Oryctolagus cuniculus: one gene and its partners. The protein of the gene in region 1 purifies or fractionates together with the protein of each later gene. This does not show direct contact. Links are inferred from orthologs where the notes say so. Each region holds a gene or a part of one and is shown on either strand. Other genes may lie near its edges.

Region 1 (3,524 bases):
ATTTTACATTTCTACGCCAGCTGACATATCACACCCAATGTAACTGATACAAAAAAAAGCTTTATCTTTCATACCCTCCTCTTTTTCAGCATAGGTCTATTTTTGATGTTTATTTTCATCTACTTGAAAGGCAGAAAAACAGAGAAAGACAGAAATAGACAGAGACAGGGAGGAATCTTCTATTCACTGATTCACTCCCCCAAATGCCTGCAAAAGCCAGAGATTGGCTGGAATGAAGCCAGGAGCTGGGGATTCTATCCAGCCCTCCCATGTGGGTGGAAGGGACCCAAGCACTTCAGTCATCTTCTGCTGCCTTCCGGATACACCAGAAGGAAGCTGGATCAGAAGAGTAGTAGCTGGGATGTAAACTGGCACTCAAGATATGAGACATGCATATTCAAAGTTACAGCTTACCCCACAGTGCTGCAATACCTGCCCCCAGCATAAGTTCTTAAATAGCTCCACTAGTTTTGAAACATCAATGCTAATATTATGTATGTGGATTAAATAATCCCCACTTTTCTGAAATCATGCTTATAGATCTATTTAATATATTTAATATATTAGGAAGCCAAATGCAGAGATATACGGCAACCTGAGAGGTGTGAATCATTTTACCAGCTGCATTTGTAGCCAAATGGGATAAATGAATATCCACATACAAAACAAGAGATAAATATCCACCTTATACCATATAAAATATGTAATTCAGAATGGATCAAAGACTTATATATAAGAGCCGAAACTACCCTTAAAACAAAACGGAGGAGTAAATCTTTGTGACACTAAATCAGGCAATGATTTCTTAGATGATAATAACAAAATAAAAATAATACAACAAAATTTAAAAATATAATTTGATGTCATCAATATTAAAATCATTAGCACATCAAAGAACAACATAAGAAAGTGAAAAGAGGGGTAGACATTTAGAGGACAAGTTAAGACACATTGTTTGGGATGCCCACATTCATTCCACAATGCCTGGGTTCAAGTCCTGGCTCTGCTTCTAATTCCAGCTTCCTGTTAATGTGCACCAAAGGAGAGAGCAGGTGATAACTCCTTGTGGGAGACATGGATTGAATTCCTGACTCCTGGTTTTGGCCTGGCCCGGCCCCACCTGTTGCAAGCATTTGGGAATTAATTAGTGGATATAAGATCTCTTTCTCTCTGTCTTTCAAACAAATAATTTTTAAAAAGAAAGTGAAGGGGCTGATGTTGTGGCACAGTGGGTTAAGCCACCACCTGCGAGGCCAGCATCCATATCAGAGCACCAGTTTGAGTCCTGGCTGTTCCAGTTCTGATCCAGCTCCTGCTAATGCACCTGGGAGAGTAGCAGAAGATGGTCCAGGTACTTGGCCCACTGCCATCCATGTGGGAGACTAGGACAGAGTTCTGGACTTCTGGCTGCAGCTCGGCCCAGCCCTGGATGTTGCTGTCATTTGGGAAATGAAATAGCATTGAAGATCTCTCTCTCTCTCACTCTGCCTTTTATATAAATAAAATAAATTTTTTAAAAAGTAAAAAAGACAACCCATAAAACAGGGTAAAATAATTTACAAATTATGTATCTGATAAGGGTCTTGTATCCAGAATACATAAAGAACACTTAAAACTCAGTGATAAAAAGACAAATTCCCTAATTTTTAAAATGGGCAACAGATTGAAACAGATATTTCTCTAAAGATGATATACAAATGGTCAATAAGCATATGAAAAGATACTGAATACCATCAGTTATTATAATCTGCAAAGCAAAACCAAAGATACTCTTTCTTGTACATCTATCAGGACAGATGTAATACAAAAGACAGGTAATAACAACTGTTGACAAGAATACGGAAAAACCTTCCAGCTGATATTACAAAACAGTTGTTTTTGCAATAAGGCCCAGACCCTGTTGACTTCAGGCACTGGTCTTGTACTCACTGCTGTGACTATGGAATAAATCAACACACAGAAATACTACGTGTTCAGTTTCCAGGCCACTTAAACCAAAGTTTGATACAATACAGTCCATGTTATGTGGAGCTAGGTATCAGAATACTGTCTAGAGCTTTTAACTGTCATTAAAAGACAGTTTTTTGAACAAGTTCAAACGCTTATATACCATTGGCATGTTTGCAAAACAGTAAGTTCATGTTGGAAAATAGTTTGGTAGTTCCCCAAAATATTAAACACAGAGTTACCATCACAAGAGAAATAAAAATACACAAACATGCAATAACTTATACATGTTTATAGTAGCACTATTCATAATAGTCAAAACCAAACTGAAACAACCACAAGCCACATGTATGATTCTAATTGTATAAAATATCTAAAACGGGCCTTTTCATAGAGACAGGTGTCAGGGTAGTGACTGCCAGGGACTGGAAGGGGCATGTGGGGATTCATTCATAATGGGTATGATGCTTCTTAAGATAAAAATCTTCCAGAACTAGATTGGGGTAATTTTAAACAACACTTCAGATAAACTAAAAGGTCACTGAATTATAGACTTCAAAATAATGAATCTTATGATATGGAAATTACATCTCAGTAAAGTTGTCATAAATACAGAAGAAAGCTAGAATTTTAAAAAGTTTTCATGGACACTGGAATCAGAATTGCAATGACCATATCTTGTGGACCATCCCAGGCTACAACTTCTCGTCCTATTTCTGCCTTCACATACACACCACAGGCTGAGCTTCCTGAAAGCATGGACAGGTCAGGCTCACCAAATCTCCAATATCCAGCCCAGGGTCAATGGCAAGGCAAGCTATCTAAGTTAAGTGAATAAAACAAGATTTGCTACTAGCTGTGTGACCTTCAACAGAGTTCTTCCCTCACCCTCTGAGCCATGGCTATGAATCAGAGGCAACACCTAAATAACAAAAAGTACGAGGATGGTTAAGTGAGATGTGACATAAAGCCCCTAGCACACAATGTGTGCTCAATGGTGTGGTTCTCTTCCTCTTGGAAATTATCAACAATGTCATTTCGTGAAATGGAAAACTATTATTCTCTTTTCTGGATCGATGACTTCCTCCTACCTTGCCTGACACTAAAAGTATGTGGAATGGGAAGGCTGCACAGGTTCATGAACATTAAAGAAGAATAAACACCTTGCCATGTACTGACCTGTCTCCACTCTCTCTCTGGTCCATAAGAGACAGAAGCAGGCAGGGCTATGATTAAAGACTCACTTACTTTGATGGTCCTGTCACCAGAGGCAGACACGATGTATTTATCATCAAAGTCTACTACATTGACAGCAGCACGGTGGCCAACCAGGACACGGCGTAGAGTGATGTCGGTGGCCGAAGCCATGTCCCACACGGCAATGGAGCGGTCCTTAGAACAGGTCACCATGAGTCCATTGCTGAAGCGTAAGTGCAGTACAGCCTCATTGTGGTGGATCAATGTGTTGAGAACTTCACCTGTGTTCACATCCCAGACTCTAAATGAAAAGAGAAATGCATGCTGCTCAATTACTGAGAAAGCCAAGAAAAGACTCTGTCCTCTAAACTGAGTCCACT
Region 2 (4,010 bases), on another chromosome or scaffold:
ATCAAAACATAAAACCTGTTTAAGAATTTTCATATTTTTTTGAGAATTAAAAGTAAAAACATTCAAAAATTAAGAAATCTAGCATAACAAAACAGACATTAAAGCATTCTTTTTAAACAGGACTGAAATTAAAAAGCATTTGGTTTTAATGAGTGTAAACGACAAAGAATCTTTCCACACTACCTATTCCAAATGGAGAGGATTTTCCACACTCCTTCCCCAGTTACTGATGCAAAAGTATTATAGTTTGCAGTACATGATCTTTCATTTGCAATCTTTAACAAACTGCCTGGGAGTAAGGCCAGTCTAACAAGTACCCACTTACCAGGCCCAAAAAATTACTTTTTGGAAATTAAACTTTACTCCACTACCACTAGCCAGATTTTGCTAATACTTTACTAGAAAAGTTTTCATATAAATTCCACCCTGTGAAACTAATTTTTCCAGTATCTGTAAACAAAAACTTATATTTGACAACATAGACAAGCAATATCGTTTCCAATTCGCCACTAGTAACTTGCACCTTTTCTCAGCAATTTTAAAAATCTACATCTGAAAAGTATACTGTTTGTGGCCCACGGGGAAAAAAAAAAAAAACCAAAGCCATCGGTTTGGCTTCATAATATTCTCAACATGTGCTTTTCAGTGACTATCACAGCTGTGAATATTAAACATTTCCATATCAATCCTATTTTCTACAAAGTTGACCTAATTTCAAGTCTGAAATTGAGGCTTCCACCTTTAGAAGCATAGAAAACAAGAGTTAAGTAATTGGGTAGTCCTAAAAATACACATCACAACTACATGACTAAGATACTCATTTAAAACTTGTGCCAAGATAACCCCTCCCTTCAAAACAAACTAAAATTGACTCAATGGCCTATTTTTTTGTGTGTGGAAATAAAAATATTAAATGCATTCCTAAACACTATTTCCTCTGTATCTGCCCCCACCATTTATAACAATGAAATCTTCAATCTGTGATTCTTGTCTTTAAAAATGCTAACGTAAAAACAAAAGCAAAAACTCAAGTTATATCTGCCTTGGGGGTCAAAAGAAAAAAACAAAATCACGAGATTCCGGAATAATAACCACTGTCCTAAAATCATGGAAAACAATAGAAACAATGTCTCTGGTCGCTAAGGAGCCATCCCACCCAGTGAAATCGCCTCATCTCTCATGATACTTTTCATCTGGGCGACAACCCCATTTGCTAGTTAACCAGCCACCTGAGCAAAAGGTTTCAATTTTTGTCTCCCCAAAGTGGGAAAAGACCAGTCGCCCTACAAGACATGTTGCACCTTCTGTGGATATTTCTACACGGGGGGCAGGGGAGCCTGGGTGAGGACAAAGGGCATTTTTGAAAGAACCATTGACCGAGGTAAATAGAGAACGAGAACAGAAAGAGGGCTAAATTAAAGTTCCCTCAAGTGGATAATGGCCCCCCCCCAAAAAAAATCCCGCAGGCACCCCCCCCTCCGTCTTTTTTTCTTTCTTTTTAACCACCCCTAGGGTCCCATTCTTCAATATCGCCACTGGAACGCAAAGTTGCAACCACCACAGCCCAACAAACGCTCAAAATGTCAGGGCACTGGCAGCCTCTGGAATGACAGGCTAGTGCCCCTCCCCCACCCCCACCCCCCAAAAAAGAAAAGTCCAATCCAGTAGGTGCAGGTCACCCTGCCCTCTGGGGCAGTTCCAGCTGCGCCAGGGAGGGTTGTGATGGGAGGACGGGAGGGGAAGGCAGCCCCCCTCTCCTGCCATCACCCCCTCGGCTGGGGAGCAAACAAAGACAGGCCTCCTCCTCCTCCCGGAGCCACGACCCTAGTCCGAGAGGCTTCCCTCTCTCCCGGTGCAGTCTGGCCTCCCGCACCCGCCCCCATGACAAAGAAAAGGCACTGGGTGAGCAAGGCCTTCCAGCCTCCACGGATGGGGGAGGGGGTGTCGAGGCGAGGAGCCCCCTCACTCAGCCGTGCCCACTCTCCTGGCCCCCGAAAACAGCCGAGGGCGGTGGGGAGCCGAGGCCGCGGCCCGCGCGGCCAGGTCGGGGGATGGGAGTACCTTGAAGTAGCCGCCTTCGTAGAGGGTGTTGGGGGGTCCGAAGATGGCCACCTCCCAGTTGTAGAGGTCGGACTCATCCACCAGGGTGATCCGGAAGCCCTCCACCGGTTCCTCCTGCAGGGATTTGAGCTCCAGCATCAGGGCCTTCTGCGAGCTGGTCATCTGCTGCTGGGCCATCGCGGCGGCGGCCGTGCGGGCCGGGGCCCCAGTCCTCACGCACCGGCCGGGCCGGACCAGGCCCCTCCCCTGCGCTCGCCCTCGAGCCGGGCCGCCCCGGGCCCCTGTCTTCACACCGCCGGCGGGCCGGACCAGGCCCCAGTCGGCCCGCGGGCCCGCCCGGGATCCTCCTCACACACGACGCGGGCCGGGCCGGGCCCTTCTCCTCACTCCGGCCGGGTGGGGGCAGGGGCAGAGGGAGTTCGGGGAATTCGCTCCCGGTGCCGGGCCTCCCCCCCCCGGAGGGGGCCTCAACTTGGGGGGGGGGAGAGAAGGTGGAAGCCGAGGAAGGTGGCGGAGGGCCGGCGATGGTAAGGGGAGGGGGCCGCGACGGCCCGGGAGCGCCGCGCTCGCTCGCCCTCTCGTTCTCCTCGGGGGCCGCCGGGGCCGGAGGGCGCGCGGGGCCAGAGGGGGCGGGGGGAGCGCGGCGCGCGGGGGTCTCGCGGCTGCGGCGGCGGCGGCGGCGGCTGCGCGGGGGGAGGGGCGGAGGAGGAGGCGAAGAGCGAGAGCGCCGCGCGCCGCGGGAGCGACGGAGCCGAGAAGGAGGGAGGGAGAGAGGGAGGAGGGGCGCGCGCCGGGAGGGGGGCGGCTCTCGGCGGCTGGCGGCCCGACGCGCGTGCGCGCGCCCCTCCCTCCCCCGCCCGCCTCGCCCTCCTCCTCCTCCTCCTCCTCCTCCTCCTCTCCCGCTTCCCCGCCTCCTCCCGGCTGGCCCGCGCGGTGGCGGCGCTTTGTGACGCCGGCGTGTGTCCTCCGCCCTTAAAGGCCCGAGCGGCAGTGAGGGCCGAGGGCGGGCCGCGGCGGATCCCCTGGGCCCGACGTGACTGTTGTGCACCGCGACGCTGCGGATCCAAAGGCGTGTCCCGGAAGAGGGCTCACGTTCTGGGGCCCTCAGGGCTCGACCCCGAAGGCCGGGGTAGCGGAGCCCGGGTCCTCTGTAGGCTCATCTCTGCCCCCTCGCAGTCCCTCCTGTTAACCAGGCCCTTGATTAGGAAGCACCGAGGATTTGGGCCTTATCGGTGAGAACAGGCCTCTTGACGACGTCTGTCTTGGCGATTCCAGCCCTCATTCATGCCAGTGTGTTCTTGGCCAGGTCACCACCTTGGGGAGAGGCAGTTTCCCATTCGAGAGGTGGGGGAAGGCCGATAGGCGTGCCCCTACTTCCCTTAACTGCAAAGAGGAAGTTATGAGAGAAATAACACGGACCGAAACTGGGTTCCTGGCCCTTCTCCGTGTGATGTGGGGCCAGTGCTCTGGCCAGCCCTCAGCTCACCCATTTGTAAAAAAAAAAAATAATAATACCGTGGTTGGACTTTGACCCCTTCTAAGTGCCCTCAGCTTTTTGTCCAGTCTGGAATTGAGGGACTTTTGAGAGAATCTGGACTGAAGAGACATGTCACTTCATAGTGAGAGGCAGCCCCCATGATGTTAGAATACCTTACGGTTTGCGAGACTCTTACTGCCTAAACTGTTCCCTAGAGAAGTTGGGACCCCGTGAGGGTGCCACACAATTTGGGATCAGAAAGACCTTGGTTCCAGCTCTGACCCTAACTTTAATATTCTCTCTTCCTGCTTCATCAGCCTCTGTAAAAGGGAGTTAATTACACCTAACACAAGCAATTGTAATGATTAAATGAATCATTATGTACACTATTTAGTATAGTGACTGACTCAAGGTAAATGGCCCATAAACAAGAACTTGAAAGGAAGAACTTTAAAGGCACAGCTGTGTTCTG
Region 3 (4,103 bases), on another chromosome or scaffold:
CCCAATTCTCTCCCCATTTCCTGTTTGTGAACAAACTCTGCAGCCCAGCCCAGTCTGATCAAAGGCAACAGGAGGAACAGCAGTCATAGCCGCTGATGCCTTAAACCCACAGCCAGAGACCTCCAGCCCAGGAGAGGGATGCTCAGCTGTCCCTACTAATGGCTGGCAGCTGCTCCACCTGTTTGGGTCTTAACAGCTGGATGGGAACAGCTGTGCTGCGGATGGCATTACTCCTGCCCCCCCCCCCCCGCCACGACGGGGAGGTATCTGTCCACAGCAGAGCCCACCAGCTCTGTCCACTCCCTCTCTCTCACAAAGGACCTGGTCCAGGGCTTGGCCAGGGGTCAAGTGTCTGAAGCCAGAGGTTGCTGATGGGCCTAAGGCCCAATCAGTCTGCAAGCAACTGTATTGTGTTTGACACAGAGTGAATTAAAGCACTGAGTTAGTTGGAACATATTTTTAAATTGTGATTATTTCCTAGTTTAAAACAATGTGTAGAAGCAACAAAGGATAACAGGACACACATTGGACTTATGTTCCCATAGGACAAGGCCCAGCTGGGGTCCAGTACCCACTGCTCCCAGGGGCCACTGTCCCCACCACCCCTGGCCCCCGTCCACTTTCAGCCAGCTTTCTGAAAGCAGACACTTCTGAGACAGGAAGCCGAAGCCCAAGGCCAAGGCAGGTCACCGAGCCCTCTTTGTGGGGCCTGAGGACTCCTTCCACTCTCCCAGAGCTCTCCAGCGAGCTTTTGCTAGAACGGGGATTCCCAAAGGCAGGTGGCGACTCCTTTGTGTAGGGGTCCCCGGCATCTACTCACGTCTGCTCTGCCACCTGGGGGTCCACAGGGCTGGGCGAATCCATGCAGAGACCTGTGGGGACAGAGGGCCTGGGTTTGAAAGGGGTGACGTTCCCTACCTGTTTCCCCCCAGCATGTCCCAGGAAGGGGAGGAAGCCCTATTTCTGCTTTCCATCTGGACACACTTTAAAAAATGAGACAAGAACCTAGCCATGAGCTGACATGCTGTCCCCACACAACACAGGGCTCCACTCCCTGTTACTATGGGAACTCCTGTCCTATACATTTTAAAACCACAGTGCTTGCTAAGCATTTTTTTCATGAACTGGTTTAAAATAATTTGTTTTAGAAGAGATCACGGCTTCTTAAAGTTACAGACTCAGAGAATGCTGTAGACAGATCAGCTCGCAGGCTCCCGCGGCTCCCAGGTGGGGCTGTATGTGTGGTTTAAGGACTCTGGTGCCTGGTTTCGGATAGGTGAGATCTCCCCTCCCACAGAGGGCCCCACCCGGCCACCAGCCCGGGCTGGGTGGGTGGGTCCCGCCAGAGGTGTGTCTTCCTCCCAGTTTTGCAGGCCAAGCAGGGAGGCTCCCGGGCACACCAGGTTGTGGGAAGAATGTTAATCTGACCTTGCAGGGCATCCAGCAGCCCAGGCAGCCCCCCAAACTCAGACCTCCCCAACCACGTGTGGGGCCTCACCTGCATCAGAACACTCAGAGGAATCAGATGACAAGGAAGACTCGGATGCCCGCCGTGACAGGGACAGACGCGCCAGCCGGCTTCGGAAGAGCAGGCTCCCGGCCTGAGCCTCTGGGGTCTCACTGGGAGGGGAAGGGGGTACCAGAAAAGGAGAGAGGTAAATGCAGGCCTCCAGGCCCTCCCTGTTCTCAGTCACCCAGCTCTGAAGGGCCCACCTGCTCCTCAGGACAAGGAGGCTTAGCCCACCAAGTGCCTTCTCTTGGATGGCAGGCTTAGGAGAGGCCCTCCCAGGTGCAGGGCAAGTGATCACAGGGCGAGGGCAAAGAGGCTGGGGGCTGGCGTGGCGGTCAGTGGGGCAGCCGAGAGAGCAGCCCTGGGAGCCCTCTGCTCCTCAGACCCCTACCCATCCCAGGGCCTCCTTGGAGAGAGAGACCTGGGTCTCTATGGCTGCTGGGGGAAGTCAGCCCAGCCCCTGAGGCTTGCTTAGGGAACAGGATTAGGATTAATGACCTGAACCCTGGGGGCAGAAGCAGGGTGGAGGGAGCAGAGGCATGGGCCTGTGAGAACCCCACTGCTCTGCCACCCTCAACTTCCCCCTCCCGGCTCATATCTCCCCGCCTGGGGAAAATGGAGGAGATGCGGACAGAGATTGGGGTGGGGGGGGGCACCGTGGCCGAGTCACAGTAAGGGAGGGGGAGGGGAAGGAGGGTCCCTGGAGGCTTGCGCAGACCAAAGGGTCACCTGGAGGGTCTGATGCCCCTTGCCCAGGGCCCCTGAAGCAGGGGTAGGGACTCCCTCTGCGCTGACCCGGCCGCATCCCCACCCCACCTGTAGTGCTCAACTCCCACGCGCGGTTCCTCTGGAGCCGAAGGACCCCGTCCTGGTCTCTCACCCCACGCCCAGCCTCTGGGAGGCGTCCTACCTGCCGAGCCCCGCCAGATTATGCATGGTCTGTGTGAGGGTGGTGACCGGCGAGGAAGCGGCCGTGCGCTCCGGAGACCCCAGGAGATCATGAGACCCCAGCCGGAGGCCCGGGAGGTGGCCCGGACGCTGGACGCCACCGCGCACGCCGGCCGGACTAAGGGCCGAGCATGGTGCAGGCTCCGGCCGGGGCACCTCCATCGCGGCGGGGCGGGTGGAGGGCCTGGGGCCGGGAGCGGGCCCGGGGTTGGGGGAAGGGAGGGAGGGAGGAAGAGCAGTGGGACTGGGAGTGAGGGAGGAGAGGGATGCGGGGAGGGTGGGGAGGGGTGAGGGGCGCGGGACTCAAGCACCAGTCCGGGAAGCCTCTGACTGCAGCTGCCACCTCCACCTCCTTATATATTCGAAAAATAACAGCGGCCGCGCCGCCGGACGCCACCAATGGGGGCGCGGGTTAGAGGAGGGCGGGCCCGGGGGCGGGGCCCGCGAAGCAAGAGGCGCGGGGGCTGGACCAGCCCGGCCCGCCCAGCTCCAGCCTCGGGGGAGGCGGAGGAACTGGGGTCCATCCCACGGCTTGCACACCCGCCACCCCCAACCCGGGCGCGAGGTGGAGACCCCCCGAATCCCGCGCTCTGGGACCTAATGTGGAACCTTCCACCGACAGAGCGGGCCACAGGCCCCAGGGGGGTCCGGAAAAGAGGCACCCGGGGTTAACATCGCGCGCGAGCCCCAGGAGGATCCGGCACGTTTGCCAAGCACGGCGGCCCTGGGCGGGCTGCGTTCACCGTCCCATTTCACAGACGCGGATGTGGAGGCGTGAAGTTCATGGGCTTGTTCAAGGTCATGCATTTGGGAAAGTGGTGGGACCAGCCCTCGCTCGCTGCCCGACGCCCCTGACCCCGCCGGCTCCTTGCCCCAGCGTCTGGCAGCGCGGAGCAGCTCCAAAGGGTAATTCGTGGACCGAACGCCCAGTGCAGGCGGTGGGACGCCGGTGGGAGCCCGAGGCCGCCAGGGGCCCCGCTTTCTCTAGCAGTCCAGGGGAGGCTCTGACGGCTGGACTGGACCCGGGGCGTCAAGGAAGGGGCCAGCGACCAGAGAACTCGGTAATGGAAGTAGAACCTACAATGGTGGCTTGGCTCACTTGGTATCAATGGCATAGTATTGTTCAACTGGCGTTTCTTTGTAGAATCTGTCATTAGTTTAAATTGGGCATCTTCTAATTACCTAATCACCTCCCAGCTGAGCCCTTGTCTTCCTGGAATGAGGCCAAAGGGCTGCACCCCTTCTGGGGGGTACGCAGCGCACCCCGTCTCCCTGGGGAAGCGGCGACCTCCCGAGGGTGACAGGCTCAGGAGGGGAGCGCAGCTTGGAGGGAGGGGTCGCGAGCACCCGCGTCCCTTCCCTCGCTGCCCGAACCTCGCCCCTGGGTGAGGTTGGCGAAAGGGAGTGGCGGGGTGGGGGGTGGGGTGGCGCTGCAGGGTTGGGGAAGGAGAGGGGAGGCTCCAGTCCCACCCGAGAGGAGCAACTTTGAACATTCTGCCCAGCCCCGGTGCTGTTTCCTTTCATTCTCGGCAGTCAAGGGTCTGGCTCTGACCCTCCAGCCACCGCCCAGCCACCGGCTGGGAGGGATGGGGGGGGGAGGGGGGCTGTGCCTCAGGAGGCGACCCACCCTACCTATCAGAAATAA
Region 4 (3,976 bases), on another chromosome or scaffold:
TACTTGGGATGTACTGGGTCAAGTTTCAATTGCTCAGTACTTCTGATCCAGCTTCCTGCTACTGCACCCAGGAGGCAGCTCAGGTACTTGGTTTCCAGCAACCCACATGGAAGACCCAAAAGGGGTTCCTAGATCCCTGACTTCAAGCCTGGCCTAGCATGCCTACTGGGGACATTTGGGGTATGAACCAAAGGAGGGAAGATCAATCCCTCTCTCTCTCAATCTGGTCACTCTGGCCTTTCAAACAAAAACGTCAGTCTTTTAAAAATCTGTGGAAAATTAGAATTAAACATAATTTTATTTAGTACTAAAAAGAAACAAAATATTCATCAATTCCCAACTCTCTTACGGTCACCAAGAAAATTTCTAGTATCCCTAGAAAAAACTTCTACCAATTATTTTACATAGCTTATTCACCAACTGATCAATCACTGGCAAATCTTCCATCAAGCCCTTTTAATTCTGGTGAAAAGAGAAAGGTAACCTCCATTTTTTAATGTTAATTAAAATTACTCTAAAAGTTTGATGAGTGAGGAATTTGTCCTCCAAATTCTCCCCTTCAGGGGTTCACTGGTCTGAATCAGAACCCCGGGAAATCCACAAGCCACTCTCTGCATTTATGAAGTCCACAAACACGTCTGTAAAGTAGGAGGCCTGTAAAAATTGGTCAACTTAATTGAATTTCATATGAACTCAACTAACTCCAAAAGAATAAAACTGCTGTGAACAAAAAGTACCACTTAGTCCCTCTTGAATTTCCCATGACTCCAACGTAAAAGGGGGGGGGGGGAGGGAACACACCCTATGGACTCTTTTTCGTGTGAAAAACAAAGTCTGGCTGATTCGAAACTTCACGGAAGAAAACAGTTTTCAGCCCCCTAATAAAGCAATCCTGCAACTCCACTCGGCTACCAGCAACTCGTACTGGCACTGCCTTCACTTGGCCTACTCGCCCAGAGGAAGCCATTACAAAATCACTTTCCTGAAAACAAGTTGGCCTTTTTAAATGGCCTTAACCAGGCTCCTTCCCAATCTCAAAGGTGTCCTCTTGCACGTTAGCAAAAAAGCAAAGTGACAATTACTGGGAAAAAATTTAAAAAAGGAAAAAAAAAAAACCTAAAAGGAAGCTACACTGCAAATTCACAAACAAAAAGCAAGCGTCTGGCCCAAGTGCATGCACACGGGCGGGCGGCTGGGTCCCGTGCGCCCACGGAAGGTGCCCCAAATGCCATCACACGGACGGAGGCCAGGCCGGCCCGGGGCCGCGCAGCCGGGCGCCCTCAGCGCCGTCCTGGAAGCGACTTGGGCGCCTCCCGGCCAGGGCCGGCCAAGCATGGCCCCGGAGCCCCGCGTGCCGCACGAATTCCTCTGCGCCCGGCCTCCAGCGCCGGCCCCGGCCGCGGCATTCCTCACTCAAATAGGCATTCGGCCATTTTCTCAAAATACCAAACACAAAGCAGCTCTTTGCAAACTCGGGCGCTCTCGCTTCCTCTCGGCCCGGCCCGCTCGCCGCGCGCACACGCACCCCCTCCGCTCGCGGGAGCTGCGCCCCCCACGCGCGCCCCCACGCCGAACCGGACACGCGGCCCGACTCCGGGCACCGGGGGCCCGGCCGCCGTCTCTGCCCCGCGCCCCGGCAGCCCCCTCCCCGGCCCCGCGGGCCCGCGTCCGGCAAGAGGGCGGAAAGTTACCTCCAGCGGCGCCGGGCTCCTGCGACCGCCCCCGGCCGCGCTCCGCGCAGGGCCCGGGCAGGCTCCGCGGGCGCCCTCCGCAGGCGCCGGGCCCCGAGCGCCCGAGGGGGCCCCCACGCGGGCCGGCTGCCGCCCCCGCGCCCCGGAAGTTTGCGAACTTCACTCCGCTGAGCGGCCGGCGGAGCGCGCGTCCCGCCCGGGCCGGCCCGGGGAGCGGAGGCCCGCGGGCCGGAGCGCGGAAAATCGCTGTCCAGCCCCGCGGGCGGCACCGCCCGGGCCCCGCGGCTGACTCAGCCCGGCCGGCCGCGCTCCGCGGCGCCTTCCGGCGAAAGGGAGAGGCCGGGTGGGGGCGGGGGCGGGGTGGGTGCCGGCGGGGCCGAGGGGCTGCGGGACCAGGGGGGACCGGGGGGACCAGTTTCAGGACCGGGGCCCCGAGCAGCTCCGCTCCTGGCCCCGGGAGCACCGCGCGCTCCGAGCGGCGGCGGCGGCGGGGGTGGCCGCCCCGCCTCGGCTGGGGCGGGGGTCCCGGCGCCGCGCGGCTCCCCGCCGACGCCCCCGGCCCAGCCCCCGGGCAGCCGCGCTGTAACCCGATCCCGCTCGGCCGCCCGCCCCCGCCCGGCGCGGCCGCCGCCGCCGGAGCCACCGTATCTGCAAATCAGCCCTGGACAGCGCCTCGCTCCGCGTCCTTCCGCGCCCTCCCCCTCCCGCCGCCGGGCCGGCCCTCCCCCACCCCGGCCGAGCCCCCAGCCCCCCGCACACGCGCGCGCGCGGCGCTCACCGGCCTCGCCTGGCCGGGAGGCGCGGGCGACCCGGCGTCGCCGCTTCCTTCGCCGACTCCTTTTCTTTGTTGCCGGAGTTTCCAGGGAGGGGAGGGGAGGATGGAAAAGTTGGGCGCCGCGGCCGTCGAAAGAGCGAGGCTGCAGGCGTCGCTCAAGCCTCCGCCGGCCCTCGCGCTGCCTTCCCGGCCGCCGCCGCCGCCGCCGGGGTCTGGGGCCCGGGGCCTCGGCGGCGCCTGCTCTGCTGCTGCGCCGACGGCCCGCGGGAGCCGCACATTCCAGCACAGGACGCCGAGCCGCGCACCCGGGCCGCGCCGCCGCCGCCGCCGCCGCCGCCCGCGGGACACGCCCCCGCCCGCGCGCGCCCGCGGGGCACGCCCCCTCCACCGCCCCCCGCGCGCGCGCCCGCGGACGCGCCCCGCCCAGCCTGCGCGGGGAGCGCGAGCGCTCGGGCCCCGCCGGGGGCGCGCCCGCGGGCCGGAGCGCGGGACCTGGTCCTCCCGGTCGCTCACGCCGGCCCTAGCGGTCGCGGGGGCGGCGGGTCCCGCTGTGTCTCGCCGTTTAAACAGAACAACAGACGGGACCCCCCCCCCCGGCCCCGGGCGTGCACGCGTGGAGGATGGAGTCGTTGTGAGCAAAGCCTGCGGGTTCAGAGCCGCATGGTCGCCGGCCTGCGGGGGCGGCGGCGCTCGGAAAACGCCCCTCCGAGTCGCCTCGGGGCTCCGCCGCGGCTGCCTTCGCTCCTGGAGCTTCGTTTTAAGCGTGGAGACCCGCAGGCGGGTGTGCGGATTGAGAACCGTCGCTGAGGGCGAAGACCCGGGGGGCGACGGGCCGAGCCCCCGGCGCGGGCTTCAGGGCGGGGTCGCCAGCCGAGGGCCCCGAGGACGGGCGACGCCTGCGCTCCTCGCTTCTTACCTGCCGTGCGCACCGGAGACGGGGTCCCGCGTGGTGCGGGCAGCCCCGGGGACTCGGACTCAGCGGAGGACGCGGGTCCCGGGAGGTCTGCGCGCCTCCCAGAGCAGAACACTGTGCGTCCTGGCCTGGACAGGGAGGGCAGGGGACACACAGCGCGCTAGGCGCAGGGTCCCAGAGCAGCTGTCCAGGATCACCCCACCCCGGAAGCGCCTCAAGTTCCATCTCTGCGGGTCTTTTCATTTGCGCCCAGCTGCCTAAGTTCTTGTTTTCCTGTTACACCTCTGTACTCGTGTTCCCTGCGTCTAAACAGCAGACTATGGGTTAAGATGGAAGCGGACACAAGGTGGATAAAGTCCTCCCTAAAGTGCTTGCCTACCAAAGTTTTCAGTGACTTTATTCCAAACACTGGCCATTGAGAAGGCTGAAAATCAGACTTGCAAAATGTTCATCTTCATTGAACCAAAGAGGAAAGAAAGAGAAAACCAACTATTTTAAGGCCTAGTGTACACTTTTCTACATTCATTCATTTTTTTTCTTTTAACTAAAATATGACTTGAGGTTCCATGGGTTTTTTTAAGATGCTGTATCCCAAGG
Region 5 (3,444 bases), on another chromosome or scaffold:
AACGCCATCTGGAGACAGGTGGCCGGAAGATCGAAGCAGATTCACGCACGCTCTGGGCCCACTGCTGGTGCCCTTTACTACAGGGTAAAGCTGGGGGATCAGATAGGGTGGAGGCAGAAGTGGAGCTGGAGCAGGGTGGGGAAGGGAGGTGTGCCAGGATCAAGATGCTTGGAGGGTCCTGACCCTGCTCTCACTCTCAGGCATTGCCTGCCTGTGCTGTGATGCCCGGCGCCAGGTGCGGATGCAGGCACTAACCTATCTGCAGCGGGCACTACTGGTACATGATCTGCAAAAACTTGATGCCCTGGAGTGGGAGTCCTGCTTTAATAAGGTAGGACTTGCTATTGGTCTCAAAGTTCAAATCCCTAACACAAAGCCAGGCACCCTGAAGAGCCTGTCATGTCAGTCTTCAGCCTGCACCGCTCCTTCCCTTCTGTTCTGTGCCCAGCCACTCCAGCCCCTGGATTCCTGGGGGCAAGGCTGCCTGACTGACCCTGCTGGGAGACACTGAAGGTATTTATCCACCAGGTGCTGTTTCCTCTATTGACCAAGCTCTTGGAGAACATTAGCCCTGCAGATATCGGTGGGATGGAGGAGACCCGGATGAGGGCTTCCACACTGCTCTCTAAGGTATTGCTCATCACCCACCTGTCCTCTCCACACCTGCCTTTTCTCAAGGAGAGGAGCCAGGGCTTCTGGTAGGACCTAGAGATGCAATGTAGGTTCTCAGGACCCCCATTTTTAGAAAATGAGCAGGACCCGGGACCTGGGAGGATTCTGGATTTCAAGAGTCTCTGATCTTGAGATTCATGTGCAAGTTAGAACAGGCTTGCCTTCTGACCCTGGAGAGCGGTGCAGAAGGCTGCTGTATTACACTTGGCTGAAGGGGCTGGCTGGCCATAGGTCTTCCTGCAGCACCTGTCTCCACTGCTGTCCCTCTCTACCTTTGCGGCCCTCTGGCTCACCATCCTGGACTTCATGGACAAGTACATGCATGCAGGCTCCAGTGACTTACTGGTATGTTCTACCTCACCTTGACCCCCATTGCCTACCTCCTTTCCCACTGGTGGGAAGACTTTCTTTCTGCCCTTTGCCATCCTCACCTATACCCCTTTCCCTCTTCTCCTGGCCCCACTACCACCTGCAGTCAGAGGCCATCCCTGAGTCTCTGAAGAACATGCTTCTGGTGATGGACACAGCGGAGATTTTCCACAGCGCAGACACACGAGGAGGCAGCCCCTCAGCCCTCTGGGAGATCACCTGGGAGCGCATTGACTGTTTCCTGCCCCACCTACGAGATGAGCTCTTTAAGCAGACTGTCATCCAGGGTAGGGGGCTCAGCCCAGCTTCATTAAAGAGTCCCCCAAGCTGAATTAGTTCTGTGTGCCCCCAGTGGGTGGAAAGGCTGGTGGGTAGCCAAGGCTCTGATGGAAAGAAAGAGTTGCCATCTGAGTTCCCTGTCCTCCCCAGACCCCATTCCCATGGAGCCTCACAGCCAAAAACCTCTGATCTCCGCCCACCTGGCTCCTGCTGCTGGTGACACCAGGACACCTGGCCACCCACCTGCCCCAGAGATACCCTCTGAGCTGGGGGCCTGTGGTGAGTCTCTCAAGGCGAGCTTGTTCTGAGGGTTGTGCAGGAAGCAGGAGGCCTAAGGGGAGGCCCAGGGTACCTTAGGATTGCTGCTGAGTAAGGACTGGGAGCCAGGGGAGGGAGGCAACCAGAGAATCCTGTTTGCCGACTGTTCCTATGGAGAACGGCAGGACTGAAGAAGCTATTACGAACTCACTGCTTGAGCCTCTTGGCTCTTGGCTCTGGGAGGAGAGGGCTGGGTCATACTTGGAAGGAACACACAGAGGTTTCCCTTAAAGGATTCTAGTAAAGACTGACCAGAATTAACCTGACAATGGGTGCAGCAAAACAATGGGGGGCTAGATAGAAGGTAGCTAAAACCGAAATGAGTTTCAAGGGGAGCCTCCCACATGGCCTGGGATGGTAATCAGGAGGAACAGAGGTTTGATGCCAGCTGGGGAGTGAGAGTTGTCTGACTGCAGCCACCTTGCTCTCCTTACAGACTTGGAGAAGCCTGACCCACGAGCCACCAGCAGCAGCTCCCCGGGATCACCAGTGGCCTCTAGCCCCAGCAGGCTGAGCCCTACCCCAGATGGGCCAACGCCACTGGCTCAGTCCCCTCTGATCCTACAACCCTTGGCCTCCCCACTGCAGGTTGGCGTGCCACCCATGACTCTGCCTATCATTCTCAACCCTGCACTCATTGAAGCCACCTCTCCGGTGCCCCTCCTGGCCACTCCACGCCCCACAGACCCCATATCCACCTCCGAGGTCAACTAAGGCAGGTCCCTCAGATACCAGGACAGATACTTCCCATCAGGCTATCCCTGCCCCGCCTTCCGGCTGTTCCAGGGGCCACAGTCCCTTCAGGCCCAGTCTAGTCCAAGCTGCTATTGCTGCCACTTGGATTGAGAAAAAGAACTCCTGTAGCCTCTGCTGGGACCCACTTCCGACTGCAGGACCTTCTTCCTCCTCTGCTCTCCAGTCCTCGGCGTCTAACCTGAGAGCACCCTCAAGTGTCACCTGCAGTGTTTATCTCCAGCTGGCAGCTCTTGGGAGGCATCACTGTGCCAACCCTTCAATGCCCGCCCATGTATCCTCCTGCCCATGGTCAGGCATTGAGAGCCAAGCCCAACCACTCTGCACTTTCTTTCCCTCCCCCAGCACCATGCCCATCAGCCCTGGGCCACCTCCTCCAGTGCTTCCTCTTTTATTAATTAGTCGGTCAGTTTAGAAAGTTGATTGGCACCGTAGATGGTGAGCTGGTGGAGCTGATTGGGGGACTGCCTGCAGGAGCATGTACATATAGAAAAACAGGACAACAACGGACTTTTTATGATGTAATAAATGTCTTAGTACCAACATCCTTGGCTTTTCCTCTAGTTTTCTCCTTGAGTTTAAGAGTCAGGGCACTGTGTTGTTGGGATGCCTGGGGCTTGGGCCTTATGCAAACAGAGGCAAAGTGAAGAAAAGCTTACCAGTAGCTGGCCCAGCTGGTGCCTGGGTCAGGATTCTTTCACTGCTGCTGCCATACCTGTGCCGTAGCAGTGCACTTTTGTCACCAGAGGTGTTCCAGGGGCTTGGGTAATTGTCCTTTTCCATAACTGCTCCAAGGGAGATATCTGATACAGCTTTGCCTGAGAGCAGAGGGAAGATAAGCAAAAGCTGAGTTGAGTTCTTTAGAAGCCTCCCATCGGAGCTGCCTCTCAGTCCCAGAGCACAAAGACACCCATGGGGCTTAAGAGGGGCCCGGGTCACCTTGCCTGCATCTGTAACCATGTGTTTCTGGGTACAGAGCATTCATTCTGACCCCAAGCTGAAGAGGGACCATTCTTCCCGCGCACAGCCCGCATCCGCCCCAGCACTGCAGTA
Region 6 (3,524 bases), on another chromosome or scaffold:
CGATCCTTGCACAGCACGGGGTGGGGGTGCCCTGTCCACAGGGTCACTTGGTCCAGCCCCATCAAGGCCACTACAGCAGGCTAATGTTTTAAGCTGATCATTTTGCATGGCCCACGAATGATATGGTAAATATCCAAATGGTCCTTGGTAGAAACAGGTGCCCCGTCCCTGTGAAGAAACAAGGGCTGGGCACCTCCTCCTCCAGAAACGGACACGTGCTCACAACACTGTTTAGACTGAGTGGGGGGCGGGGGCAGGCACTAGGCTGCTGGAGCTAGCCCGGGAACCTCAGCTCCCAAGTGTTCCTGTTAGCGCAAGAATCCCTTGGGGTACCTGTGAAAACCACAAGTGTCTGGATCGCCCTCAATGTCTCTGGGACCTGGGATTCAGGCATATGATTATCCTAGATAGCACTGGCTTAGGAACTGTCAGAATAAGGACCCTGCTCTAGCCACAGGCCTGAGCACACAAGCAGAGACTCAGGAAACCCAAGAGACACTCCAGTCGAAGAGCGAAGCCTCAGACTGCTGAACAGCGAGCCTCAGGGGCCGTGGCTACCACTCATCTCCACTATCTGCAGCAGCTTCCCAGCCCTTGCAACGCTTGCTATGGGGCCAGGCAGGTCCTCGTCTGGCAGCATCTCTGGCCTCTGCCCTCTGGATGCTCCCAGTTGTGACAACCAAACCCATCTCCAGACACAGCCCACATCCCCTAGAAGGCAACGATGCCCTCACTTGGAAACCACTGACTGCAACCACTGAAGAGGGAAGAGACACAGCCACATATGACAAACAAAAAGGGTGGTCTCGTGACCCTAAGAAGCCTTTGGTCCTCCAAACTTACAACACCATGACCTCTCTGCTCCCAGCCCGAGGCTGTCTCACACGACAGGCCTGGAAGAACAATGCTTCGACTTTTTGTCTCCACCTGAAGCAGTTCACTGAGGAGCTGGGTTGAGGTCTGCATACAGAGAGGCAAGGCCTCTCGGGCTGAGATCCACTGTAAGCTAAGCAGCGCCAGGACCGACGGCAGCCACTGGCCTCGTACCTTCTGCTGCAGGGCCCTCTCCAGGGACTCCACCTTCATCTGCTCTTTCCGGAGTCCGGCGTGGAGAGCCGCGCTCTCGGCCTTTGCTTTGGTCCGAACCTGAGCGATCTCTTCATTGGCTCTGTTTATGGTGTTTGGTTTATAGGAGAAAGAGAGAAAAAGCAGAGTTAGCCACCGATCACAGCCAGAGTCAGGATATTCATCATGGACAGCCGTGTGACACAGGCCCGAAAGGACTGACTGCGTAGAAGAGAAAGAACTGGTGACCGACATAACTCAGTAAGAACCCAATTCACGAACAACTGCTAAGGGAATTTCTGTGGCACAAACCAATGACGGAATTAATCTCAAGCACCACAATGTTTTCACAAGAAAACGGAATTATAAACCAGTTTCTATGATGGTCTTAGATTAAAAAAAAAAAAAAAAACCAGTGTAATAGTGGGCTGGATCATTTTGGGGATTATCACAGTCAACAGTCAGGACGTGTAGCCACTGACATGGACTTGATTAATGAGATGCAGAGGGAAATGTTAGAAACCAGAAATGTCAGAGGGCAAGCAGCGGGTGAACGGCGACAGGATGCTGAGACTCCGCTCGGAGCCAGAGGTGTGCAGATGAGAGTGAGAGGCTTGGATTTACCACACGGCTAATACTAAAAAGGGCGGTCTCGTCCTAGGTCCTTGAGAAGAAAACAGACTCCCACGCTGCTGGGAAAGATGGAACTGGTCCTGTCCCTGTGGAAGGCACCACCCCCACGAGGACGATCCGAAACGCGGCCACCCCATCCCACGTTCCGTGATCTCCTCAGAGACATCCACTCAGCACGCGGTGGTCCCTGCCACGTGGTCTGCCACGGGAAAGGGCTGGGTCTAAGAAACGCCTTTCAGTAAAGAAACGGCTGAAGTCCTGTAACCTGGCAAAGACTGAGCTACAAGCCTATGTGGGAAAATGGCCTGGTAAACCCTCAGTGAAAACAGGAAATGTGTGTAACATGACTCTAATTAAAAAAAGTTCCAAACCATTTTGGACAGGCACACAAAGAAAGATCTAGAAGGATATTCAATAAAGCACACAGTACCTGTGTGAGTGGGAAACAGTTAAAAGTTTTACAAATAGGAATATAAATGGTAAAATGTGTAAGTATAGATTACTTTCTACTTAAGAGAATACCATTCCCCAACATAAGTTCCAAATGTACCGGATGTGAGAATTAACCGAGAACGTAAGAGAAAAACTAAGCTATTGAGGCTAGTGTTGTAGCACAGTGGGTTAAGCTGCAGCTTCTAACACCAGTTTCTCAGGTTTGAATCCCAGCTACTCTGCTTCCAATTCGACTCCCTGCCAATGCACCTGGGAAGGCAGTGGAAGCTGGTCCAAGTGGTTGGGCCCCTGCCACCCATGTGGGAGACCAGGATGAAGCTCCTGGCTCCTGGCTTCAACTCTGGCTATTGTGGTTGTTTGAGGGGGTGAACCAGAGGATGGAAAATCTCTCTCTCACTCTGCCTTTCAAGTAAGTTAATAAGTCTATTTTTTTTTTTTTTTTTTTTTAGATTTTATTTATTTGAGAGGCAGAGCTACAGAGACAGGGAGAGACAGAGAGAAAGGTCTTTCATCAACTGGTTTATTCCCCAAATGGCCACAACAGCCAGAGCTGAGCCGATACAAAGCCAGAAGCCAGGAGCCTCCCCAAGGCCTCCCACGTGGGTGCGGGGGCCCAAGCACTTGGGCCATCGTCCACCACCCTTGCAGGCCACTAGCAGAAGAGGAGCAACCAGTACACAAACAGCACCCATATGGGATGCCAGCACTGCACAGGGAAGCCCAGCCTACCATGCCATAGTACCAGCCCTATTAATACATCTTAAAAACCAGGGGTCAGTATTGTAGCACAGTGGGTAAAACAGCCGCCTGCAAAGCCAGTTCCCATATGGATACCAGTTCACATCCCAGCTGCTCCACTTCCAATCCGGCTCCCCACTGGTGACCTGGGAAAAGCAGTGGAAAATAGCCCAAGTGTCTGGGCTTCTGCCACCCATGTGGGAGACCCAGATGAAGCTTTGGCTTGGCCCAACCTGGCCATTATAGCCATATGGGGTATAAATCAGCAGATGGAAGATCTCTAACTCTTTGAAATCAATAATTTTTTAAAAAGATTTTATTTATTTGAGAGGTAGAATTACAGACAGAGAAAGGTCTTTCTTAGGTGGTTCACTCCCCAAATGGCAGCAGCTGTGCCAATCTGAAGCCAGGAGCCAGGAGCTTCTTCTAGATCTCCCATGTGGGTGCAGGGGTCCAAGCACTTGGGTCATCTTCCACTGCTTTCTCAGACCATAGCAGATAGCTGGATCAGAAGAGGAGCAGCCAGGACTAGAACCAGTGCCCATATGGGATGCTGGTGCTGCAGGAGGAGGATTAACCTACTTCACCACAGTGCCAGCCCCAAAATAAATAAATCTTTAAAAGAAAGCAAAACA
Region 7 (4,130 bases), on another chromosome or scaffold:
CGTGGGGCTTCCAGACCCAGCGCGAGCCACGCTGACCCGGGCAGTCTCCCGGGCCCCATCGTACCCACCTTGGCCACGCGCCCGTCCCTCCTGACCCTGCTTCCTGCCCCCAGGGTTCCCGCGCTGCTCTATTTTTATTCATCCTGCTCATTATTTAATTAAAAACTGCAACTGATGATGCCGCCCAGTCCCTCTGCAAGCTTCCCGGGCTGTCATCAGGGAATCGTCACCGCCCAGGACACCTCGCTCTCGTAATGTCCACTTCCCACAGTCCGTGGTGTAGGTGGGGGCATGCCACTCTCTCGCCACGTGATCCGGAAAACGCCCACTTCCTATCAGACCCCCGCCAGCCCCGAAGCCACACCCTCTAGAGCAAGGACGGCTCTGGGTCTGTCCCTGCCTGTCTGCAGCCAGCAGGGCTGGGCACGGGAGATGACACACGGATGCCGGACGACGGGCAGAAGCTCGCCGCAGCCCAGCCCACCAGCCTTCCTGCCGCCCAGGCCCACCCCGGCCCCTGCCCGTGACCCCCGAGCCACTCACGGTTGTCAAAGATGGGATGGGAGAGGACAGGCTGCAGGCGTAGGGGCCTGCCTGCTGGGTCCCGCACTGTCACCTGGAAGCAGAGCCTCACGGCGTTCAGGTCGTAGTCCCCACGCTGCTCTTCTATGGGCACTGTCACAACGGACGGGCGGACGGGCAGGTGTCACACGGGGCGGGGAGGGCCGGCCGCTCTGGCCTGGGGGCTGGCGAAGGGTGCCACAGCGCCGGACAAAGGCCTGCACTGGGACCCCGCAGTCCTGTCCCCTGCCGGGACGTGGTGTCCGGCTGCGGCGTCTTGGCCAGGAGGCCTGGGGTGGGGGCCGGGTGGGGGCGGAGGCTGGGGGGGCGGGGCGGCAGCTGGGGGGGACGGGGGCTGGGGGCGGGGGCGGAGGCCTGGGGCTGGGGCGGAGGCTGGGGGCGGGGGCGGAGGCTGGGGGCGGGGCGGGCAGCTGGGGGCGGGGGCGGGGGCGGGGCGGGCAGCTGGGGGGCCTCACCTTGGAAGGGGTTGTTGTTCGTCTGGATGCGCTGACTGATGGCCTGCTCCAGGTCGCGCTTCTTCACACACTGGATCCCCAGGTTCTGGAAGCTGAGCCCCTCCCCGTCAGAGCGCGGACCCTCCCGCGGTGCCCCGTCTGCACCTCCCCATCCGCCCCGGTCCTGGCTGCAGCGGCTGCAGCGGCTCCCCTGCGCTGCAACACCACCGCTCCTGTCGACGGCCTCCCGCCCTCAGGCCCTGACCTCGGCACCTCTCCCTTCGCCCCGGGATGCTTCCGGGCTTCTCCGATCAGCCTCACCATTCAAGGCCTAGCTGACAGAGGCCACCCCGGGCCTCCCGCCCCCAGGCCACGAGACCAGCACCCCTCCCTCGGCCGGGCTCTCTCCCAGCCTGGAAGTCACGGCTGACACCACGTGCACCGTTTATCTGCACGACCTACAGCCTGTCCGCGGGTGCGCGCTCGGGGGAACCGCAGGTTCGCTGGCAGCCACAGGGTCAGGGCCCCAGCCCGTCCCCCAGGAGTCCCACTCCCAGAAAGGAGGAGCGCAGGAGAGAGCAGTCCGCCCAGCGCGGCCCCGGGCGCTCACCTGTGGATGCAGCGGTCCGGGCAGAGCTCGGCCTCGTAGAAGCCGTCCCGGCAGTCTTTGCCGACCAGCTCGTGCGGGTGAGGCCGGTGAGGGGGGTCCTTGGTGACCAGGGAGATGCGCACCGTCCCGGGTCCCGTGTAGCCATTGATCTGTGCAAAGTACAGCGCGTGCTGGGGGCAGGGCCGGCTCGGCGGCCCCTCCCCCGCGCCCGGCCCGCCACAGGGGGAGCAGGACTGACCTTGATGGTGGGGTGGGTCTTGGTGGTGTCCGTGCTCCGCTCGCCGGGGATGCTGCCCGCCGAGCGGCCCTCGCACTTGTAGCGGAAGCGCATGCCCCGCTGCTTGGGCTGCTCGATGATCTCCACGAAGGGGCCCGAGGCCTGGGCTGGCTCTGCGGGGGCCGGGGGTCCCATCAGGGGCTGCCCCCAGCCCCCCAGCCCCCGGAGCCCCTCCCCGCCACCGAGCAGGGCCGGCCCACTTACCCGAGGGGAAGATGAGGGGGAACAGGTCTGAAAGGGGAGGAGGTAAGGGTCAGCACAAGCCCAGGTCCCCTCCACCCCCCGCCCCAGGGAAACTGAGTCAGGACCTGCTCCGTGGGGGGTACAGGAGCCAGAAACACCTGTTTCCTAAGGGCAAACGGGGTCTGGACCCCCGGCTGTGCTGAGGGAACCCGAGTCAGGGCCCGGCCCACTGTCCTCGGAGGAGCTGTGGGAGGGCGCCCCCCACCCCCCAGCCCCCACCCGAGAGGAAACTGACTCACACCCTCTCCCATAACAACTCCATCAGGGCTGCCCCAGAGGCCATGCGACGGACTCGCCTCAAAGCTCACCCCGCACCCCCACCCCGGGAGGGCCCCCGGTCAAGGCCCCCTCCACGCGGAGGGGAAACTGAGTCAGACCCCCGCCGCCCGCCCCGCCCCGCGCCACCGGCCGGCCGGACCGCTCCCTGGCGCAGCAGCGCCCGCGGCGCAGGAAGCGGCGGAAGGCGGCCCGGGGGTCCCGCCACAGCCCCCGCGGCCCCGGCGCGGCCTCCCCGCCGGCTCCCGGGGCGCCCTCACCGTCCATGGCCGGGGTCCCGGGGGCGGGGCCGGGGTCGCAGCTGGGCCCGCGGCGCGCGCTACAGGGGAGCCATTCGCCAGAGGCGGAAATGCGCCGCGCGCGCCCGTCGCCGCGTCACTGCCCGGAACCCGGCCGCGCCTGCGCGCTGTGCCTGTGCCGCCGCCGCCGCCGCCGCCCCGCGCGGGGGTCCGGGCAGGTGCGCGCCGCGCCGGGGCGAGCCCGCGGGGGCCGGGGGCAGACGCCGGCCGCTCCGGACACCGACGCTCACCCGCCCGCCCGCCCGGAGGCGGCTCCCGGGGCGGCTCCGCTCGCCCCCGCGTCCCAGCCCCGCCTGGAGGGCGGGCCTGCCGATTACTCACTTTGTTTTTAGGGGATTTCGGGGGCCCCCTCCCGCGGGTCGGAGGAGCTTGGTGATGTCACCCGGGCCGGGCTGGAGCGCGGCCAGAGCGGCTGGGCGGCGGCCGCCCGCCCCGCGCGCGGAGAGCCGGCGGCTTCACCCCGCACGCGTCTCGGCGCGGGGGGCGCGCGGGGTGCGGGGCGCGCCCGACGTCCCCGCCGGCCACTGCCCGCAGCGGGCGAGCCGGGCCCTCGGCCGCGCCAGCCCCGGCCCGCGGGCGGCCCATCGGAGACGAGTGCGGGAGGCGCCCGGATCGGCCCCGCAGCCTCCTCTCTGCACCCTGGCGCGCTCGCCTGCCCACGCCCGGGACCCCCAGGGGCCGCCCGAACCCGCAGGGTCCCGCCCCCCGCGAGAGTGCCCGGGGCCTCCCGCCGCGGCCCTGCGGGCGGGGGGCGGGCCTGGGGCTGGCACAGACCCTCTCCTGGGGTGAGGCTGCGCGCGGCTTCCCCAAAGCGGGGTGCGGGGGAGACTTTGTGTGTGTGTGTATCTTCTCCGAACTCGCACTAAATTAGGAAACCATGTGGGAATTGGAAAAGATTGGAAATTCTGACTTGCTTTCCCAGGCTCTGAAAAAACAGGAAGAGAAAAGTGAAAGAGAGCGAGCACCCCGCCCACCCGCCGGTGTCTCCGGCGCAGTCCGCTTCCCGGCCGCGGGGGCTGCGCGTGCGCCGTCCACTCCGAATAATCAGCGTTTTATTTCCTTGAAAGGCAGAGCGGCCTCCCGCCCCTGCATCACGGCCCAGACGCCGGCCAGCAGCCGGGGAGCTGCGCCAGCTGAGGCCAGGGGCGGGGGTCTCGGGCGGGGGTCTCAGACGGGCGCCGCCCGAGCGGCAGGGACCCCGAGTCTTGGCTGCTGCCCCGGCTGCCCGCCAGGGTCTGCCTTAGCAGGAAGCGGGAAGGGGGAGCCCAGCCGCGACTCCGCAATGGGGTGTGCACGATGCAAGCAACATTGTTTTTTGTTTGTTTGTTTTTTAAGATTTATTTGTTTGAAAAGCAGAGAGAGATAGGTCTCCCATGCGGGTGCAGGGGCCCAAGGACCTGGACCATCCT

What was found.
Region 2: the proteins of FBXW11 (region 1) and UBE2R2 purify together in Homo sapiens (affinity purification with mass spectrometry; 4 studies listed by BioGRID and IntAct, with this or other methods). This does not show direct contact. The link is inferred for Oryctolagus cuniculus from reciprocal best matches to the Homo sapiens genes FBXW11 and UBE2R2.
Region 3: the proteins of FBXW11 (region 1) and CDC25B purify together in Homo sapiens (affinity purification with mass spectrometry; 14 studies listed by BioGRID and IntAct, counting the BioPlex papers as one, with this or other methods). This does not show direct contact. The link is inferred for Oryctolagus cuniculus from reciprocal best matches to the Homo sapiens genes FBXW11 and CDC25B.
Region 4: the proteins of FBXW11 (region 1) and REST purify together in Homo sapiens (affinity purification with mass spectrometry; 7 studies listed by BioGRID and IntAct, with this or other methods). This does not show direct contact. The link is inferred for Oryctolagus cuniculus from reciprocal best matches to the Homo sapiens genes FBXW11 and REST.
Region 5: the proteins of FBXW11 (region 1) and GBF1 purify together in Homo sapiens (affinity purification with mass spectrometry, with the first as the bait; 3 studies listed by BioGRID). This does not show direct contact. The link is inferred for Oryctolagus cuniculus from reciprocal best matches to the Homo sapiens genes FBXW11 and GBF1.
Region 6: the proteins of FBXW11 (region 1) and TACC1 purify together in Homo sapiens (affinity purification with mass spectrometry; 3 studies listed by BioGRID and IntAct, counting the BioPlex papers as one, with this or other methods). This does not show direct contact. The link is inferred for Oryctolagus cuniculus from reciprocal best matches to the Homo sapiens genes FBXW11 and TACC1.
Region 7: the proteins of FBXW11 (region 1) and RELA purify together in Homo sapiens (affinity purification with mass spectrometry; 6 studies listed by BioGRID and IntAct, counting the BioPlex papers as one, with this or other methods). This does not show direct contact. The link is inferred for Oryctolagus cuniculus from reciprocal best matches to the Homo sapiens genes FBXW11 and RELA.

The regions. Positions count from the first base shown.
Region 1 is NC_091437.1:58,572,803-58,576,326, forward strand, and holds part of FBXW11 (F-box/WD repeat-containing protein 11), read right to left. Parts: intron 3,446-3,524; coding exon 3,196-3,445; intron 1-3,195.
Region 2 is NC_091432.1:196,853,170-196,857,179, reverse strand, and holds the start of UBE2R2 (ubiquitin-conjugating enzyme E2 R2), read right to left. Parts: upstream 2,815-4,010; 5' UTR 2,239-2,814; coding exon 2,062-2,238; intron 1-2,061. UniProt on the Homo sapiens protein: E2 ubiquitin-conjugating enzyme that accepts ubiquitin from an E1 ubiquitin-activating protein, and catalyzes its covalent attachment to other proteins by an E3 ubiquitin-protein ligase complex.
Region 3 is NC_091442.1:29,126,776-29,130,878, reverse strand, and holds the start of CDC25B (M-phase inducer phosphatase 2), read right to left. Parts: upstream 2,801-4,103; 5' UTR 2,621-2,800; coding exon 2,421-2,620; intron 1,621-2,420; coding exon 1,499-1,620; intron 873-1,498; coding exon 821-872; intron 1-820. UniProt on the Homo sapiens protein: Tyrosine protein phosphatase which functions as a dosage-dependent inducer of mitotic progression. Directly dephosphorylates CDK1 and stimulates its kinase activity.
Region 4 is NC_091439.1:107,748,376-107,752,351, forward strand, and holds the start of REST (RE1-silencing transcription factor), read right to left. Parts: upstream 2,802-3,976; 5' UTR 2,470-2,801; intron 2,318-2,469; exon of another isoform or gene 1,692-2,317; intron 1,116-1,691; exon of another isoform or gene 802-1,115; intron 1-801. UniProt on the Homo sapiens protein: Transcriptional repressor which binds neuron-restrictive silencer element (NRSE) and represses neuronal gene transcription in non-neuronal cells.
Region 5 is NC_091446.1:27,564,438-27,567,881, reverse strand, and holds the end of GBF1 (Golgi-specific brefeldin A-resistance guanine nucleotide exchange factor 1), read left to right. Parts: coding exon 1-84; intron 85-200; coding exon 201-331; intron 332-528; coding exon 529-630; intron 631-903; coding exon 904-1,017; intron 1,018-1,147; coding exon 1,148-1,328; intron 1,329-1,470; coding exon 1,471-1,599; intron 1,600-2,074; coding exon 2,075-2,352; 3' UTR 2,353-2,936; downstream 2,937-3,444. UniProt on the Homo sapiens protein: Guanine-nucleotide exchange factor (GEF) for members of the Arf family of small GTPases involved in trafficking in the early secretory pathway; its GEF activity initiates the coating of nascent vesicles via the localized generation of activated ARFs through replacement of GDP with GTP.
Region 6 is NC_091433.1:88,581,715-88,585,238, reverse strand, and holds part of TACC1 (transforming acidic coiled-coil-containing protein 1), read right to left. Parts: intron 1,169-3,524; coding exon 1,048-1,168; intron 1-1,047. UniProt on the Homo sapiens protein: Involved in transcription regulation induced by nuclear receptors, including in T3 thyroid hormone and all-trans retinoic acid pathways. Might promote the nuclear localization of the receptors.
Region 7 is NC_091432.1:6,038,327-6,042,456, reverse strand, and holds the start of RELA (transcription factor p65), read right to left. Parts: upstream 2,822-4,130; 5' UTR 2,690-2,821; coding exon 2,683-2,689; intron 2,135-2,682; coding exon 2,108-2,134; intron 2,017-2,107; coding exon 1,865-2,016; intron 1,776-1,864; coding exon 1,627-1,775; intron 1,130-1,626; coding exon 1,038-1,129; intron 676-1,037; coding exon 544-675; intron 1-543. UniProt on the Homo sapiens protein: NF-kappa-B is a pleiotropic transcription factor present in almost all cell types and is the endpoint of a series of signal transduction events that are initiated by a vast array of stimuli related to many biological processes such as inflammation, immunity, differentiation, cell growth, tumorigenesis and apoptosis.